2 linked regions of the Pelodiscus sinensis genome follow. The protein of the gene in region 2 purifies or fractionates together with the protein of the main gene of each other region. This does not show direct contact. Links are inferred from orthologs where the notes say so. Each region holds a gene or a part of one and is shown on either strand. Other genes may lie near its edges.

Region 1 (7,167 bases), on a different chromosome or scaffold from region 2:
GTAACAAAACCCCAATAAATCCATATTACGCTGTATAAAAGTTTTACACGGTGAAAGCTCACAAAGGTCAGTCCCCTTTATCAATGAAAAAGAAATATGCAGAATCGTTGCTCCCCCCTCCAGCTAACAATTATTTACATTTGGCTTGATTATAAACAAAAGTATTTTTTATTAAGTGTAAAAAGTAGGATTTAAGTGATTGCAAGTGAAAACAGACAGATCAAAGTACTAAGACAAAATAAAAAGAACCCACCAGCTAATTCTAATACACTAAGAAACTTGTTATATGCAAATTCTGACCTTAACAGCTATTCTAATGATCTTCCACAAACTCGACAGCCTTCTTGAACCTCTCCGCTGTTCAGTATTAGATTTTCCAGCAGGCAACTTGCATAGTAAGTGGGGACAGGTGGTCTCCTGGTGTCTGGCCACTCCCCCTGTTGCTTTGATGTCTCACTTTAATAACCTCATTGCCCAAGGTGGGAATTTTGTGATCTCTTCAAACTTTTCTCACCTCAAGTGGCAAAGTACAAGATTCCAAATGGTTTCCAGCATCAGGTGGTCTGGCCACATGTCCTTATAGGACCAGCCACAGTTTGGGCTTACAACAAAACCAAAACCATTCACAGGTTGTTAACTTATGCACAAAACCATTATGTCTCTGGAATATTACTAATGGCCCTCGTTAGGCCATCTAGAATTTTAAACAGATCCACAATTTATATATTTCTAACTAGCCATACAAGAATGATACATGACACAGAATTAGAATATAAACATTCAGCGAATTGTAACTTTAAAAATGTCAGAATGCATTTTGCCAAAAGCATCTTTAGGTTATGGATATTCATAAGCCAATTTGCATAAAGTATGGGGGGGCACGACAGTCACTCTTTTAGGGTACCTTGGTATAAGGGAAGACACATGACTGAGTAGTTGGTTCTTTCCTGGATAGCAGAACCACAAGGTATCATCTTTGTTGCTGAAAGCAACTGAGAAGTTGTCTCTTCTTTCTGTCAACCCAAGCTCTGTGGGTATGTTTGGGTGGCCCCAGCCACACGGATGTAGCTGTTTCTGTAGGTCTTCACTTGCCAGGCTGGCTTTGTCTCAGGAATGTGGATTAAGCCAACCTTTGGGGATCTTGGGGGGAGTCCTTCATTTCGGTGTATTCTCAGAGAATCCCTGCTCAGAGCGCTTAAACAAACAATTCTACTTCCTGTCATTTCTTCCTACTAGTGCTTGTGTTGTGTTCTGGGGGAGAGTTCCTGCTCATAGGCTGCTTACATGATAGGGGAGTCTCTGTAAACTCTGCATTAAATCAGTATGTCCATAAAATGAAAAATAAATCCAATTGGAACACTATTTTTAATACACATAAAAAAGAAAATAGAGCAAGAGTCCTTGCACTATATACAAATCTATTATATATTTTGAAGTGTTTGTTTGTTTGTAGATTTGTTTGTGCAAAATAAAGTCATACTTCATGTCAAGGCTGTTTCCCACTCTGGCACTCCAAATGCAGAAGGTGGGGTCCCGCAAGAGAGCTTCAAAAACCTTGCTTCTACAGGCACTGGTTACAAAACTTTCCCCCAGAATCCTAACACACAGATTTTGGGGAATTTGCTGCCATCATCAAGTGCTTTTTGAGCCTTAAAAAACAGTGGTGAACACCTGAAACTACTCCCAGGGGTATCCCAAAAGTTCTTTTGCCCCAAAAGAGCTTGAAAAAGAAGAGAGAAGAATAAGCTGTAGTCTCTGGTAGCTGACTCCTCAGTCAGAGACATGCAGAAACACACAGACAGACCTTCCAGGACACAAGAATAAAATAATCACCTTAAAAGAAGTGATTTTTATTACAAAATAAAAGATAAACGTGACAAACCACACTTGGTTGCTAGATGTTATAGAGCAACTGTGGAAACTGAATTAAAACAGAGAGAAAAAAAACTCTGGCACAATGCTTAGATGGTAGTAAATGGGGAAGGGAGGCACAGATTCACACAGAACCGTTCAAACCAAACCACACGATAAAGAAAAATTACCCTGAACACGACTGGACTCACATTTCCCTGGTACTCACTTCTAATTTGCTCTTTGTTCAGTCCGCTCCTATGCCCTGAATTTGGGGGGGGGGGGGAGGGAGCAGAACACAAACACACACAAAAAAGCAGGCCAGGGGTCCTAGATCCAATTCAAATTTCAACTCTATCCCCAATAGCTCTCTTGGCCCCCTGGCTGACACCTTCCCTAGGTTCCTGAGTTAACACCTTAGTCACCGGGTGCTGGTCAGCACTCCTGTTCATGTCACTTTGTGATTACCTACAGATACCAAATTTTGCATAAACAGTCCTGCCATTTAAATGAGCTGAATGCACTACTTTTTACACAGGAATATGCTGGGTGAAAGTTTTAAATAATTATTTTCGGTTTTCATTGGAAAAAGGTCATGACTTTTATTATTTGAGTTCATAAAAATATTTGCTAACAAAATTAAAATCAAGTTGCCCATTTTACTGTCATTTTAGTTCACTGAAAATGTTTACTGTAACAAATCACAAAGTAATCCAAATTAGTTATGGAAAGAGTAATGGAAGCAGGCCTCACCTGGTAGTATTGTATAACAGTGCATGAGAACCTGAAAGTGATATTGACTGTAATCTATAATAGGGTCAATATGTCATTAGGCTTGGAGTAAGTACAGTAATTCCTCATTTAACACTATAGATATGTTTCAGAAAATGATCATGTTAAGTGAAAACATGTTATGCAGGATCAATTTTCCCATTGAAAATAATGGAAAAGGTGGGAATTGCGTTTCAAGCGGTGGTGTCTGTTGGGACCGGGACATAAGATTGGGGGAGAAAGGGAACTGGGTTACAGCAGGGAGGGGAGGTGTTTGGCTCTGGGGAAGGGAAGAGGAGGAGAGGAGAGGGGGATTGGGTTGGAAGTATGCCCCTGTGATGGGTCCGTTGGGACCCGCACTGCATCCAGCGAGGGGGGGGGGGCACCGGGGAACAGCACAGCGAGCGGCAAACTCTCCGCCGCTTTGCAGGGAGGCTGGGGAAGCCCCGCGCAACCACCAGCAATGAGCCGGCTGGGGAAATCTTCTTATTCTGGGGACGGTCATGTAATTCAAAAAACGTTCCAAAAAAAATCGTGCTATCGTGAAAACGTATTACACGGGCACGTGTTAAATGAGGAATTACTGTACAGCACTGACTTTAAACATTGTCAGAGAGAAATAAAGAGACGAGTTCTCAGGGCCTGACTTTGGGAACATGGATTGAGACTGTGCAGTCATTGCCTCAGTTTGAGCATCCCTGGAAATATACCTCCCAATCTTCTGTTTCCTATTGTCATTGTAGGAGGGGCAAGATACAACTTTCACTGACATCATTAAGCCTCTTTCTATTGAGTCAGGGCAGGCCCTAGTAGAATATGGAAAAGACGTTGGGCTTTTTACATTTCGTGCTTACCAATCAGGATACCTCAATTCAGGGGCAGGAGCAGCTGAACGCAGAAATCAAAAGCCTGGCTAGGGCTAAAGGGAGCGTTTGTGTGCGAGACATTTAGACTCTGCTGATTGGCACACAACAGGTTCGCTCTTCTGAATGCTCCGTTGTTTGTGAAGCCTCTCGGGGTCTCGGCGTTCCCTGTGTACAGGCTCGGCGGGCTTTGATGGGACTTGTTTTTGCCGCCGCCTTCCCATTAATTTAATTGGGAGCAAGAGCTAGTGACCAACTTCTACCTGCCTGCAAAGTGGGGCTGAGACAGCTAACCCGCCTGGGGGGCGGGGGGAGGGAGTTAACTCTTGCCAGGGGCACTTTGGCCCCCGAGCCAGATGCACCAGACCCGGCTGCAGCCTGCCCGGCTCCAACGAAAGAAGCTCCTGGAGCCATCAGGAACCAGCAGCGGAGCAGCCGCCTAGCACTAGCGCGCCCCTTCTCTGCCCAGGCTGCAGGGCGTGGCTGCCCAACCCGCGCGTGGGGGGGCCCGTCTGCACAGCGGCGCCTTGAACCGGCCGCGGCTCCCAGGAGCGCCTGACTTGAGCGGCGCGCGCACACGCGCGTAACTCCCTCCCGGGGCCGCGTTCGCTAGCTCCACATCGGCTCGCTCGCCCAATAGGAACCGAGGCCGTCCGTCACGTGACCCGGCCGCCCTCCTAGTTGCGCACGGGGGCTGTGCGCGAGATTGCAGCCCGTCGGCCCCGCCGGCGAGCCTCGCGAGGGTTGGGTGGGCATCGCGCGAGCGCGGCGGAGGCAGGGCGCTGCGGCGGCTGGAGCGGGAGCGGCCGGGCGCTGAGGGGGTGTGACATGGCTGCGGGCGCAGGACGCTGCGGACCCAGGTACGCCCCTCCCCCTCCGGCCCGGGCGGCGCAGGCTCTTGGGGGGGGGAACGACCGGGGGGCGCCCCCAGTTCCCTGCGGGACGGGAGCCGGGGCCGCTTCGCATCCCCTTCGCCTCACGAGGAGCATCGTTCCCGCTTCCCCGCCTGGAGCGCTCCGCAGCCGCCTCCCCCCTTCCGCTCGGGGGACACGCTCCCTCGCGCTGGCCCTGGTGCGTGGCCGGGACCCAGTCCGGCTACTGGCCCGTGCGAGGCTGCTGGGCGTCTGCAGCCCCCCCCCCCCCCCCCCCCCCGCCGCCCCGGTCCAGCGGGCTCAGCACTGCGGTCTCTTCCCGGTGGGGAGCTGAAACCCATTTATTTGGTGGTCGGGGGGGCTCTGCTGGCCCGCTGGGCTGGTGCCGTGGGTGGAGCGCTGCTCCCAGGGACCGGTTAATTGTTGCCCAATAAGCATCACATCATTAAGGGTGATGCTTACCGTGTAACCAATTGCCCGTTCGCCTCCCTGCTTCCAACCCCCCCAAATTTGGCTGCAGTTCTCTTTTATTGTGGGCTGATCCCTCTTAGTGCTAGTGGCTGCTTCATGGCTTCACCCTAACTTTCCCAAGCAGCCAATTTCACTTCTGCCTAAAGGATCCAACACTAGGCTCCTGACTGGAGTTCTTGAGTATTCTTGTAATAAAATGGGAGCATCATAAAAATGACAATAGTCTTCTTAATTTCACTATGCTGCTTCTTGGGAAAGATACCAGTGGTGGTAGAGGCAATGGAGCTGTCCATCTCAGACTCAGGAGGACAGCACTGTGTCTCTTCACATTTGAAAGGTTCTTTCATAACTTTAAGGATAGCCCTTAGATATGCTAATAGACATAATACAAATGGAAATAGAAGCTTGTTTTTGAGATCCTAAATGATAGGCAAATTGGTGGATTTGGACCCATTTCTCAGGTCAGCATCTCAAGGCAGTATGAATGAATTGGCAAGTGGATTTTTCATGTCTTGCTTTTAGGCCTTATGCTGCTAACTATTCATGCTGTATCAGCTTTGTACATCTCTCCTGAAATTTCACTGCCCTAAATTAAATTTAGAAGACCATTCACTTGATGAAAAAACTAGTGATGTTACTTACTCTTATTGTGGATGGACAGCAAAGAAAATAGAATGTTTCTTCCCAATTTGATTTACTTGTGATGGCACAATCCTTTTATCTTCTGAATTCTATGCATCCCTGGCAAATAACTTTTAATCTTGAGCATAATTTTTGTGGCCTTATTGTTGCAGCTACCCTGTCATATTCTGCTGTATAATTTTCCTTAATTTAATGAAGACAAATTAAGCTAGTGGACCATTTCTTTGCCACTGAATAATGTTTTCAGAAATATTTTATTTGATAATCTGAAGTTCCATATCCAGAAGCTATCCTACTCCCAACATTTTGGATGGTAATTCTGAAGTTTTGACAGATTAATCAACAAAAGTCTGTTGGTTTAAGAAAACATTTGCCTTTCCTTAAAATTGCTTAAAAATGTGTGTATTAGGGTAGGAAAATATTTATTTTTGCTTACCTTTATTGATTCATTTCAGAAAAACTGCAAAATAATAAGTATTTTTTGGGGTTCTTTTGCTGATACTCCATAAGAACTTGATAGCCATACTTGGTCACATCAGTGGATCTTGCCTGGTATCCTGTCTTTTGACAGCGGCCAGTACCAGATGCTTCAGAGGGAATGAACAGATCAGGGCAATAACCAAGTGAGCCATCCCCTGTTATCCTGTTCCATCTTGTGGTACTCAGAGGTTTAGGGACACCCAGAGCATGGGGTTCCATCTCTGACCATCGTGGCTAATAGTTATTGATGGTCTTTCAGAAACTTAACTAGCACTTAGCTAGCCCTATCTTTCAGGAATTTAACTAGCTCCTTTTCTAAAGCAGCTATATTTGTGGCCTTCTCAGCAGCCCATGGTCATGAGTTACATAGGTTGATAGTCCATTGTGAGAGGAAGTACAATGTATACTTTGTTCATTAGCCTGTTTGTTTATAAGCCAACTCTCCTCTCCCTCCCCCCGCCCGCATTCCCACAATGGATAGTTTAAAAATGGCAAAACCCTATGGACTCTTTCATAAGCCAATCTTATATTGCAGAGGGTGGCTTTGGCTCCCAATCTGTCAGGGATGACTTGCTGGTGCACTGGGGCATTTTGTTTACATGGAGCATCTGTAGGCAAGAAGCCTTGCAGCTCCAAGTGGCTGTGATTTATCTTATGGGAAGTGGTGTAGGTGAAGGGATGTGCTGACTGCCATTTCCAGCTACTACCATTGGAAGTGGCAATGCTCAGTGTCTGTGGATGCTCCAGGTAAACAAAATGCCCCAGTGCACCAGCAAGTTATCCCTGACGGGCCGGGAGTCAAAGTTTGCTGACTCAGAATCTGCAATGACAACAGTGACCTATTGATAAGCCAACCTCTGCTCTTTGATGATTCACATTTTTACCAGAAAAATTCAGCTTATGGACAAGAATATATAGTACTTGTTTTAAATCTGATGCCTGTTAATTCCTTTGGGTGACCCCTCATTCTTGGGTTATGAGAAGAGGTAATAACATTTCCCTATTTTTTCCCACACTATTTATGGTTTTATCAACCTGTATTATAATTGCATTAGTCATTTGTTTTCTAAATTGAATAGTCCTATTCTTTTTAATCTTTCCTCATATGAAAGCTGATCCATTACCCATATCATTTGTGTTACCCTTCTGAGTACCCTTTTCAAATCTCATGTGCCTTTTTTTGAGAAGGGGTTAAGTGCCCGCAGTTATCAAGGTTG
Region 2 (7,975 bases):
AGGGGCCTCCACGGGCCGGATCCAGCCCTCCAAGTGGGTTGATTGAGCCCATGGCCACTCTCCCACTCCCCTGCTCCCAGGCCAATTGAGACCTAGAGATGGGGGAGCATGTGAAGTCTCCTCTCCCTGCCAGGGGCGTGCGGCACCAGAGGGAACCGAACATCCCAGCCAAGGTGGGGCAGGGAGTGAGAGATTTCATGAGCAGAGATGATGTCTGCTGCCCTGCCCCCGGGCCCTTCCCAGCGGCTGGAAGGCGCGGCACGGGGAGGGGAGGCGAGGCACCTCCTGAACTAAGGGGAAAGCCTCCCTTGGATTCTCCCCCACTGCCCTGATGCTTCTGCACTTTTTCTTTTTCGGCAGGGGGTGCGCCTCCTGATTGGCCTGGGGGTGGAGGGAGCGCAAGAACAGCTGGCAGTTCTCTCTAGGTGCCTGGCACCCCTGGCAGGGCAGGGGGCAAAGACTTCATGTGCTTTCTCATCCACAGGCCATTCACGGTCTGTGGGCAGAGGAGTATGTGAAGTCTCCTGGCCCTGCCCCTTCTGCCTGAGGCCCAGCCCTCTTCGGGGTGTCCCACAACTACTTCTGAAAGTTGTGAAGTGCCCCCCCCTTCAAAAAATATTGCCCACCCCGGCACAGAGGATGAGAACTTGGCAGACTTTTTCCTGCTATGACCTTGGACAAGTCCCTTCCTTGCTCTGTGCCTCAGTTTCCCCCACTGTAAAACGGGGCTTACGATATGGGGCCTCCTTTGCAAGGCACTTGAGATCTGCAGATGAAAAGTGCTAGTTAAGAGTTAAGGATTCTCTGCCTTTTGCTAGTGAGAGGTTGAGGAAGTTCCCATGGGACTTTGCCGTCCCATTTTGCCATCCCATCAAGCAGCTTCTCTCTCCCATTCATGATCTTTTAATCTCCTGGGGCAGTGACAACTGCTGATGTGGAAACATAACCTGAATGTAGCAATTGCCAGAACAGGGTCAGCTCTGAGGGCCATCTAGCATCAGCACCAGAGGCTGCAGAGGAAGGGGTAAAGAACCCCAGAGTAGCAATGGAGGGAAAACTTTCCGTTTCTAGAGGTCTCGTCCTGCTCACTAGCATTAGAGATCCACTTAAGCCCTGACGCACAAGCTTCAATATCCATTTCGGAATTATTGCTGTCATTTAAATTATAGCCTTGAATTGTCTTTCTCCCTGTGAATGGCCAGTCTAGTCTTGCCCTCAACTTTGTGGTGGTGAGTTCCGTGGGCTAATGGTAAAGTGTTTCCTCTTACTGGTTTTGAATTCCCCACCTTTTAATTCTATTTGAGTGTCCCCTGCTTCTTGTGGAATGAGACAGGAAGGAGAGAAGCTCCTCATCTCTCTTCTTCATCCCAGCTATTATTTTCCAGATTAAATGGTGGCCCTCTTATTGGGTTCCTTGGTAAGGGAAATAGTCCTCTCCGTCTGTCCTCATAGGAGAGTTTGTCCCAGGTCTAGATTGTTCTTATTGCCCTACTCTGAACGTTCTCATTTTGCACTATTCCTCTTTGATCAGGGGTGACTAGCACTGCAGCCGTTATTTCCGATCATGCTAGAATTTAATGGGTTGATGAAGTTTAGCAGCTGGAAACAAGGACTTGGCACCATGTTACTAGCAATTGCTGAGGTATCTGCGTCTGTTGATCCTACTTTGGACACTGGCAACCTGCAGTTACTTCAGTACCAGAAGTGAAACTCACTAGAATCTGAGTGAAATTGACCAGCTGTATTGGGTCTTCCCCCTTCCTCCCTGCATTTGTTCATGCTGAGATACCTGAAAAGGGATTAAGTGCAGTGGACTTTATGTTGAAAATAAGCTTTACAGTTAATAAGCCCAGGTGCTGGTAACATAAGAAGCAATTTTTATTGTCCTCTTTTTAAGCTGATAATGTCTCTCTAAATCCTCAAGCTACCTGGTTTTCTACTGAATTTTCTTTTAAATTCATGCGAAATTGCTCTCCGCACTAGGTTTTTAAGGAATCCTTTTGGTTTAAAATATACGTGTATATCATTTTGGGACTGAAAATGAGTGCAGTCCTCTTTTCATCAGCACCATTTTTATTATCTGAGCCTCACGGCGGGTTTCCCTTATTCCTTCTGGTTATTCCTTACCGGGTGAGGAATTAAATGGGTTTGTATTATGTGCTGCTGTAATGCCCATAATGACCTAAACTGAGGTCAAAGACCTGCATTGTGCTGGATGCTGCGCACACACCTAAAACAAGTCCGCTTCTGCCCTAAAGCGTTTTGAATCTAAATAGTCAGGGGAAGGATTCGTACCCCCATGTTACAGACAGGCAGCTGAGCTGAAATGACTGATCCAAGGTTGCATGAAGTCAAGGTCCAAACTCAGCATTGAATCCAAATCTGCCTTTACCACAGGCCATCTTGCCTAACTCCCAAAGCCAGAGACCACTGGGCTCATGTCAGGGTGTGGTCTGTGGACCCCTGGGGCTCTGCAGACCCTGTCTCTCCAAGGGATCTGCACCTCCCTTCGACATTTTTAGGGGTCCACAAATGAGAAAGGTTGAGAACCACCAATACAGGGTGACCTCCAGCATGGCACAACTGTAGGACTGGCCTGAATTAATTCCTGATTGAATTAGAGCACAAAAGTAGCCATGTTTGAGTTGAAGGCTGCCTGTGCTAGAGAATCTGCCTCAGCCCTTGGTCAGTTGTTCCAATGGTTAATTACTCACTGTTGATCTTCTGCTTGTGCATGACAGACCTGCTGTAACTTAGAGTGGAGTTTCCTGCAAAGAGCCTGGCTCCATGCAGGGCAGCTTGCCTGCTAGGCCAGTGTGAACCTGTTAATTGTGCTGTCCCCCCAGTTGTGCCTCCTTGTGTTCAGGCGAGAGCCACTCAGACGCTTCCCCGATGCACCCACTTCTGGGACGGAGCAGGGATTCCTCTGCTGAAATGAATGACTGATAAGCTTCAGGCTGCCAGACAGCCCAGCCTCTGGCTCTCCCAGTACCAACCCAGGCTCTTACTGGTGCTGCACCATGCGGCTGGTCGCCATGGGGGTCACCATCTGTGGCTGGGCCATGATGCTCCGATTGCTGAGTAGGGCAAAATGCCATCTGCTGGGTCCGTGTGTCCCTGCTGCTGCTGCTCATTGCTGGCTGGAGGGAGCTGATTTTTACCGAGCACGCTGGAATATTTTAAACCTTCCCTGCTGACCCTGCGGGACTCGCTGCCTGAGATGGCAGAAAATTCCCCTGGTCCTGCCAAAGCTGCACCTGCGCAAGGCTAACCCTTTGGGCACCGCTCTCGCCCGCCTGTCTGACTGGCATGTGGGCTGGCAGCCCCTCGGAAATGCCGACTCAGCCACATGTCAGTGACACCCCTTCCCCCGCTGCACTGAGACGCGGTTCTGACCCAAACAGCTCGCGTGGCCCCGGTTACGTAACCTAATGGGATCCCTTTCAGATCCGGAGGAAGGGCAAAGAGAGCCTGCTCCAGTCCCTCCCACGGAGTGTCTCGAACCTCTTGGCTGCCTCTTGTAGGCCTGATGGTGACTGGGGGGCTCCAGCGCAGGGCCTGGATGGGAGGGGCTGTCTCAAGATCCACCGCCAGGGTGCTGAGCGCACGGCAGCAGGCAGAGACCTTTCAACCCAGCTGTTCAGCTGAGCCGCTCTTGGTGGCTGGTCAGTGCCAGGGCTCCTGTTGAGCCAGGCGCGGCTCAGGAAGCAGATCCTGGTGCACGCGGCAGTAGCGCTGGACTTGGCTGGCCCCCTGGCTGGCTATCGGTGGAGGCCGGAGGCCACGTGAGCCACAGGGCTCGGATTCTCAGCCCTCCGACTGTGGCCCTGCTCAGACCAGCTGCAACATGAAATGGGTTTGGCAGGTGTCAGTCCAGTTCCCGGAGGGAGAGGCCTCCCCCTACCAAAGCCATGTGGGAACTGTGTGTGAGTCTCCTCCTGCCCCCGTTTCCCCCGCCACAGTCCCGGGAGTGTAAGGCCTGAAGGGGGAGCTTGAATGGGAGCCCAGAAGGTCCCGCCTTTCACCAGCCCCTCTGTCCAAAGGGGCCTATAGCAGCTAACTTTGCCCTTCCTCTTACTCAGTGAGGGGGGACTGGGCTGGGATGTGCTGAGAACAGGGCCTCTGGGAGTCGGGACTCCTGGGTTCTGTTCTTGGCTTGGGAGGCAGCACGGTCTAATGGTGAGGAGCCCAGGAGTCCTGTCTAGGATGATTCTGTGGTAGGAAGTAGGGATGTGAATGGTTTACTAATTGGTTAACCTTAGCGGGTGATGTTTGCTGGTTACAGTTAACTGGTGGGGGCTGGAGCAGCCCCCCACTTGCCATGGGCAGAGATCTGCTCCAGCCCCACGGGGCCTACTGCAAGTGGGGGTTGCTCCAGCCCCGCTGGAACAGCCCCTTCCCATGGGGGAAGGGGTACTGCAGCCCACCCGCAAGGGGAGGGTACTCCAGTCCAGCTGGGTTGGAGCGCCTCCTGCTCACCCTGGTTTAATCAATGAACTGATTAAAACGGTTTAATCAATGAACCGTTTAACCCATTAAATAATTGAAACAGGATTTTACATCCCTCGGCGGGAGGGCCCTCCCTCTGGGGACTGGACTGAGACCTGCCAAGTTAACTTCACATTGGACTGGGTTTGAGCTGATGCTCTAGAGATGCTGTAGATTCCCCTCCCTCCTTCCCACCCACTCCCCCTGAGAGTGGGATGCTCCGGGCTGCCAGGCCAGGTTCCCTGGGATCCCAACCTCCTGTCCTGCCACTGGAGCCCGGGGGCCAGTTCCCTGAGGAGAGCTGGTTGCTGAGAGAGCAGCTGAGAGCAGATGTGGAGCAGGGAGCTGATGCCTTTAAGGGCCTCGTGTGAACCTGGCGGCGTGCCCAGCCCTGGATCTCCCTCCCCCTTTGAGGCTGCTCCCTTGGGGCGCTTTCTGAAACAATACCTAGCGCGCGCCTCACTGGGGCAGGCTGATCCCTGAGCCTAGGAAGCGACAGGAGTGAAGCAGGCTGCTCCCTACCCTGCTCCCGGTTCTTCTCCCCGGGAGAGCCCGTTCCTGCTCTGCAAAGGGTCCTGGAGGCCTGCTTGGAAGCTGGGCAGCCATGGGGGAGCCCGCTGTGGCGTAGAGAAGCAGGGCAGCCTCCGGCAGGATCCCGGCTGCCAGGAGCCGAGGTCTGCGTCATCGGGGCGGCAGCATGGAGCTCAGACCTGGCGACCTCCGTGGAATCGAGGAGGGCTCAGATTTCGACTTCCAGTTCTGGATCCAGCTCTTCCTCTGGGTGCACTTGTTTGGCCGGCTGGTCTATTACCTCCTCCGCACCTTTGGGGGGCTGACGCAGTAGCCCCCTCGCCCCTTGTGCCCAGGGTGAGCAGCTTCCTTTCCAGATTGCCCCCTGCCTCCGGTCTCTGCAGCCCCCTGGAAATTGAGACTCACAAGAAAGGGCCTCCTCCTTCCCCATCCCACCCGCTTGCTTTTCCCCCGGAGCTCTATCCGGCTTCTGGCTTCCGCTGGAAGTGGCTTCCCGCTCCCAAGGTCAAGGAGTGCAGGGCTTGTTTGGGAAAGGCAAAGTAAAGAAACCTTCAAGCAACTAGTCCTGAGTCCCTCCCCTGGCGGCGGTCGGTACCGCCTGGGACTGCACGCCATGAGTCAAACCCCGTGGTGCAGCAAGATCTCCTCGCTGGGGTGCAGCCGCAGGGTGCCTGCAAGGGCCGGGGGTTCTGAATGTGGGTCTGTTTGAGCGCTGCTTGGAGAGCTGCCTTGGACGCGCTGCGACCCCCTGCTCTTCGGCGCTATACACGGGGGCTCCAGCAGCTGATTTCAGGACCTGCGTGCCTCTGACTCAGGCCTCATGTGAGCTGCAAGCCCAGCCCTGTTTCCTTTGCAGCCCGGGGCACTGTACCCGTAGGACAGTGTGTTTGGCAAGGATCCGCTCCCCCGCACACACAGGATCGGCAGTGAAGCAAGAGGGAGCCTCGCGCGCTGCTTTCGGCCCAAGGATCTGAGAGGAGCAGAGACCCACGGGTCTGCTTTAAGCCTCTCTGGGTGGATTTGCCCCTTGCCACCGGCCATTGTTCTGGCAAACCCGTCCATTCAGTTCTGGAGCAGAACCCGTCTTCCCCTTGCTCTCCAGGAAGTGAAACTGACTTGGCTGGCTGCGTAAGTGACCAGACTCCCCTATCCTGTGCCCTCTGCCAGGGAAGCCCACGCTCGGGACCAAGGTGAAGCCATTTCGAGTCCCTGGGTCCTCGCCACCTGGAGCAAGTGCAGGGAGGAGTCGTATGGAAGTGGCCTGCCCGCCTCTGCGTTGACAGCCAGGCTCTGAGGCTGCTGCAGGGCAGGGGAGCTTTTGGATGGAGAGTCTCTCCCCCGGGTAGAAGTCAAGAGCAGTCGGCTCAAGCCCCCATCTCTGTTGGGAGTGGACGAGTTTTGCTGGGGCTTGGGGCTGCTTCTCCGCTCCCTGACCCTGCTCTCGTCTCTGCTGCTGGGAAATGGCCGAGGCCGGAGGATTCCTGGATTGGGGCCCAACTTCACATCAACTCTGGCTGTGAGAGCTGAGGAGAGAGGGAGATAAATAAATTAAGGGAAACATGAGCCACGGAGGAGAAATGACCTGCCCCAACCCCAGCAGGAACAAAGGGGCTAAGATGTCAGCGCTTCAGAAACTGGAGAGTCTGGCTGGGCGGATTTTCTACTGGGGGCCGCGCAGCGAGGCGGGGGCCCCGGCCGGCAGCGAGGCGGCCCCTGTGTCTCCGCACACGCTCGCCTGGAGTGAGCAGAGTGAGTTGAGATGGAATCCGCAGGGGTAGGACCAGCCGCGGCACAGGGCCCTGTGAGTCGAGCTATCTGGCGGGGGCAGGGGATGCAGACACCATCAAAATGTGTGGGATTTGGGGGGCGGAGTGCGCAGGCCAGAGTCTGGCCTCCCCAGCTCCTCCTGGGAAGGATCCCTGCAGGGCAGCGGCAAGCACGTGAGGCCTTAGGAGCTCTCCGCTCCCGGGGCCTCCTCTTCCCGCCACTCCTGAGCCATGGAGGCCTGGGACAGGTCATGGGCCTGGGACACCCAAGTTCTGATTGTGGGAAGGGCTGAACCCGCCACGTGGCGTGAACTTTTCTCCGTGCCCGGCATCCGCCCCGGGCGCCAGAACCCAGGTGGGTGGCGCTGTGCTCTGATCCGCTGGCTCTAGCTGTTCTGCAAGCAGCAGCGAATCTCTCCCCCCGCACCAGGCTCTCCCTGCAAAGTGGGAGATGAGGTGTGTTTGGTGATGGGGCAGAACCGCCTCACACAGCGGGGGAAGTGACTTGCCTCTGCTTGCGCCAGATGGGGGCAGCGCTGGCCGTAGAATTCAGGAGTCCTGGTTCCCAGTCTTCCATGCTGGCCTAATGGTTAGAGCAGAGGCCTGGGCATCATGGCTCCTGAGTTCTGTCCCCGGCTCTGGGAGGGGTTTGAAGTCTCTGCCTCCTTCTCTTCCTCGAATGCCAGTCCCTGGTGTGTGGCACCTCTCCCTTTCCTCCTCCTATACCGGTGGTGCTGCGGGTCGGCTGCCAGGTACTTGGTCGCTGCATGTGAGGAAGGGGGCACAAGGACTCACTGGCTCCCTTCCTCGGGAGAGTCCTGGCCACTTCCCTGGGACAGACCTATGCCCTCATGTGTCACTTCCTCTCTGACATCCTGTGTCTGTCCTTTTCATCCCCCTCCACTTCCTCCTCCTCATTCCCCCAACCCTGCTTTCATTCCTCCCTCCCCTCAGGACAGATGAGGAGGCCTTTCCAGCCTGGCCCCAGCTGTGGGTGGGTGGGAGGGATTCCCCTGCAGGGAGGGAGGGTGAGGGAGGGGAGGGAGGATACAGGGATGAGCCATCTCTCCCACCGGCAGGCTCCCTGGATGTGCAAACAAGGTTGTAACAATAGTGCCTTGGCAGGGCAGCCAGGATTAAAATAGCCTCTGGCACCTTTAACCCTCTGCTGCCTGGGCCTTCCCAGCGTG

What was found. The genes of interacting proteins can lie anywhere in the genome.
Region 1: the proteins of PRKACA (region 2) and AKAP11 purify together in Homo sapiens (affinity purification with mass spectrometry; 5 studies listed by BioGRID and IntAct, with this or other methods). This does not show direct contact. The link is inferred for Pelodiscus sinensis from reciprocal best matches to the Homo sapiens genes PRKACA and AKAP11.

What each region holds. Positions count from the first base shown.
Region 1 is NC_134711.1:284,842,640-284,849,806, forward strand, and holds the start of AKAP11 (A-kinase anchor protein 11), read left to right. Parts: upstream 1-4,154; 5' UTR 4,155-4,345; intron 4,346-6,905; exon of another isoform or gene 6,906-7,167. UniProt on the Homo sapiens protein: Binds to type II regulatory subunits of protein kinase A and anchors/targets them.
Region 2 is NC_134729.1:10,100,220-10,108,194, reverse strand, and holds the start of PRKACA (cAMP-dependent protein kinase catalytic subunit alpha), read left to right. Parts: upstream 1-4,975; 5' UTR 4,976-6,578; coding exon 6,579-6,768; intron 6,769-7,975.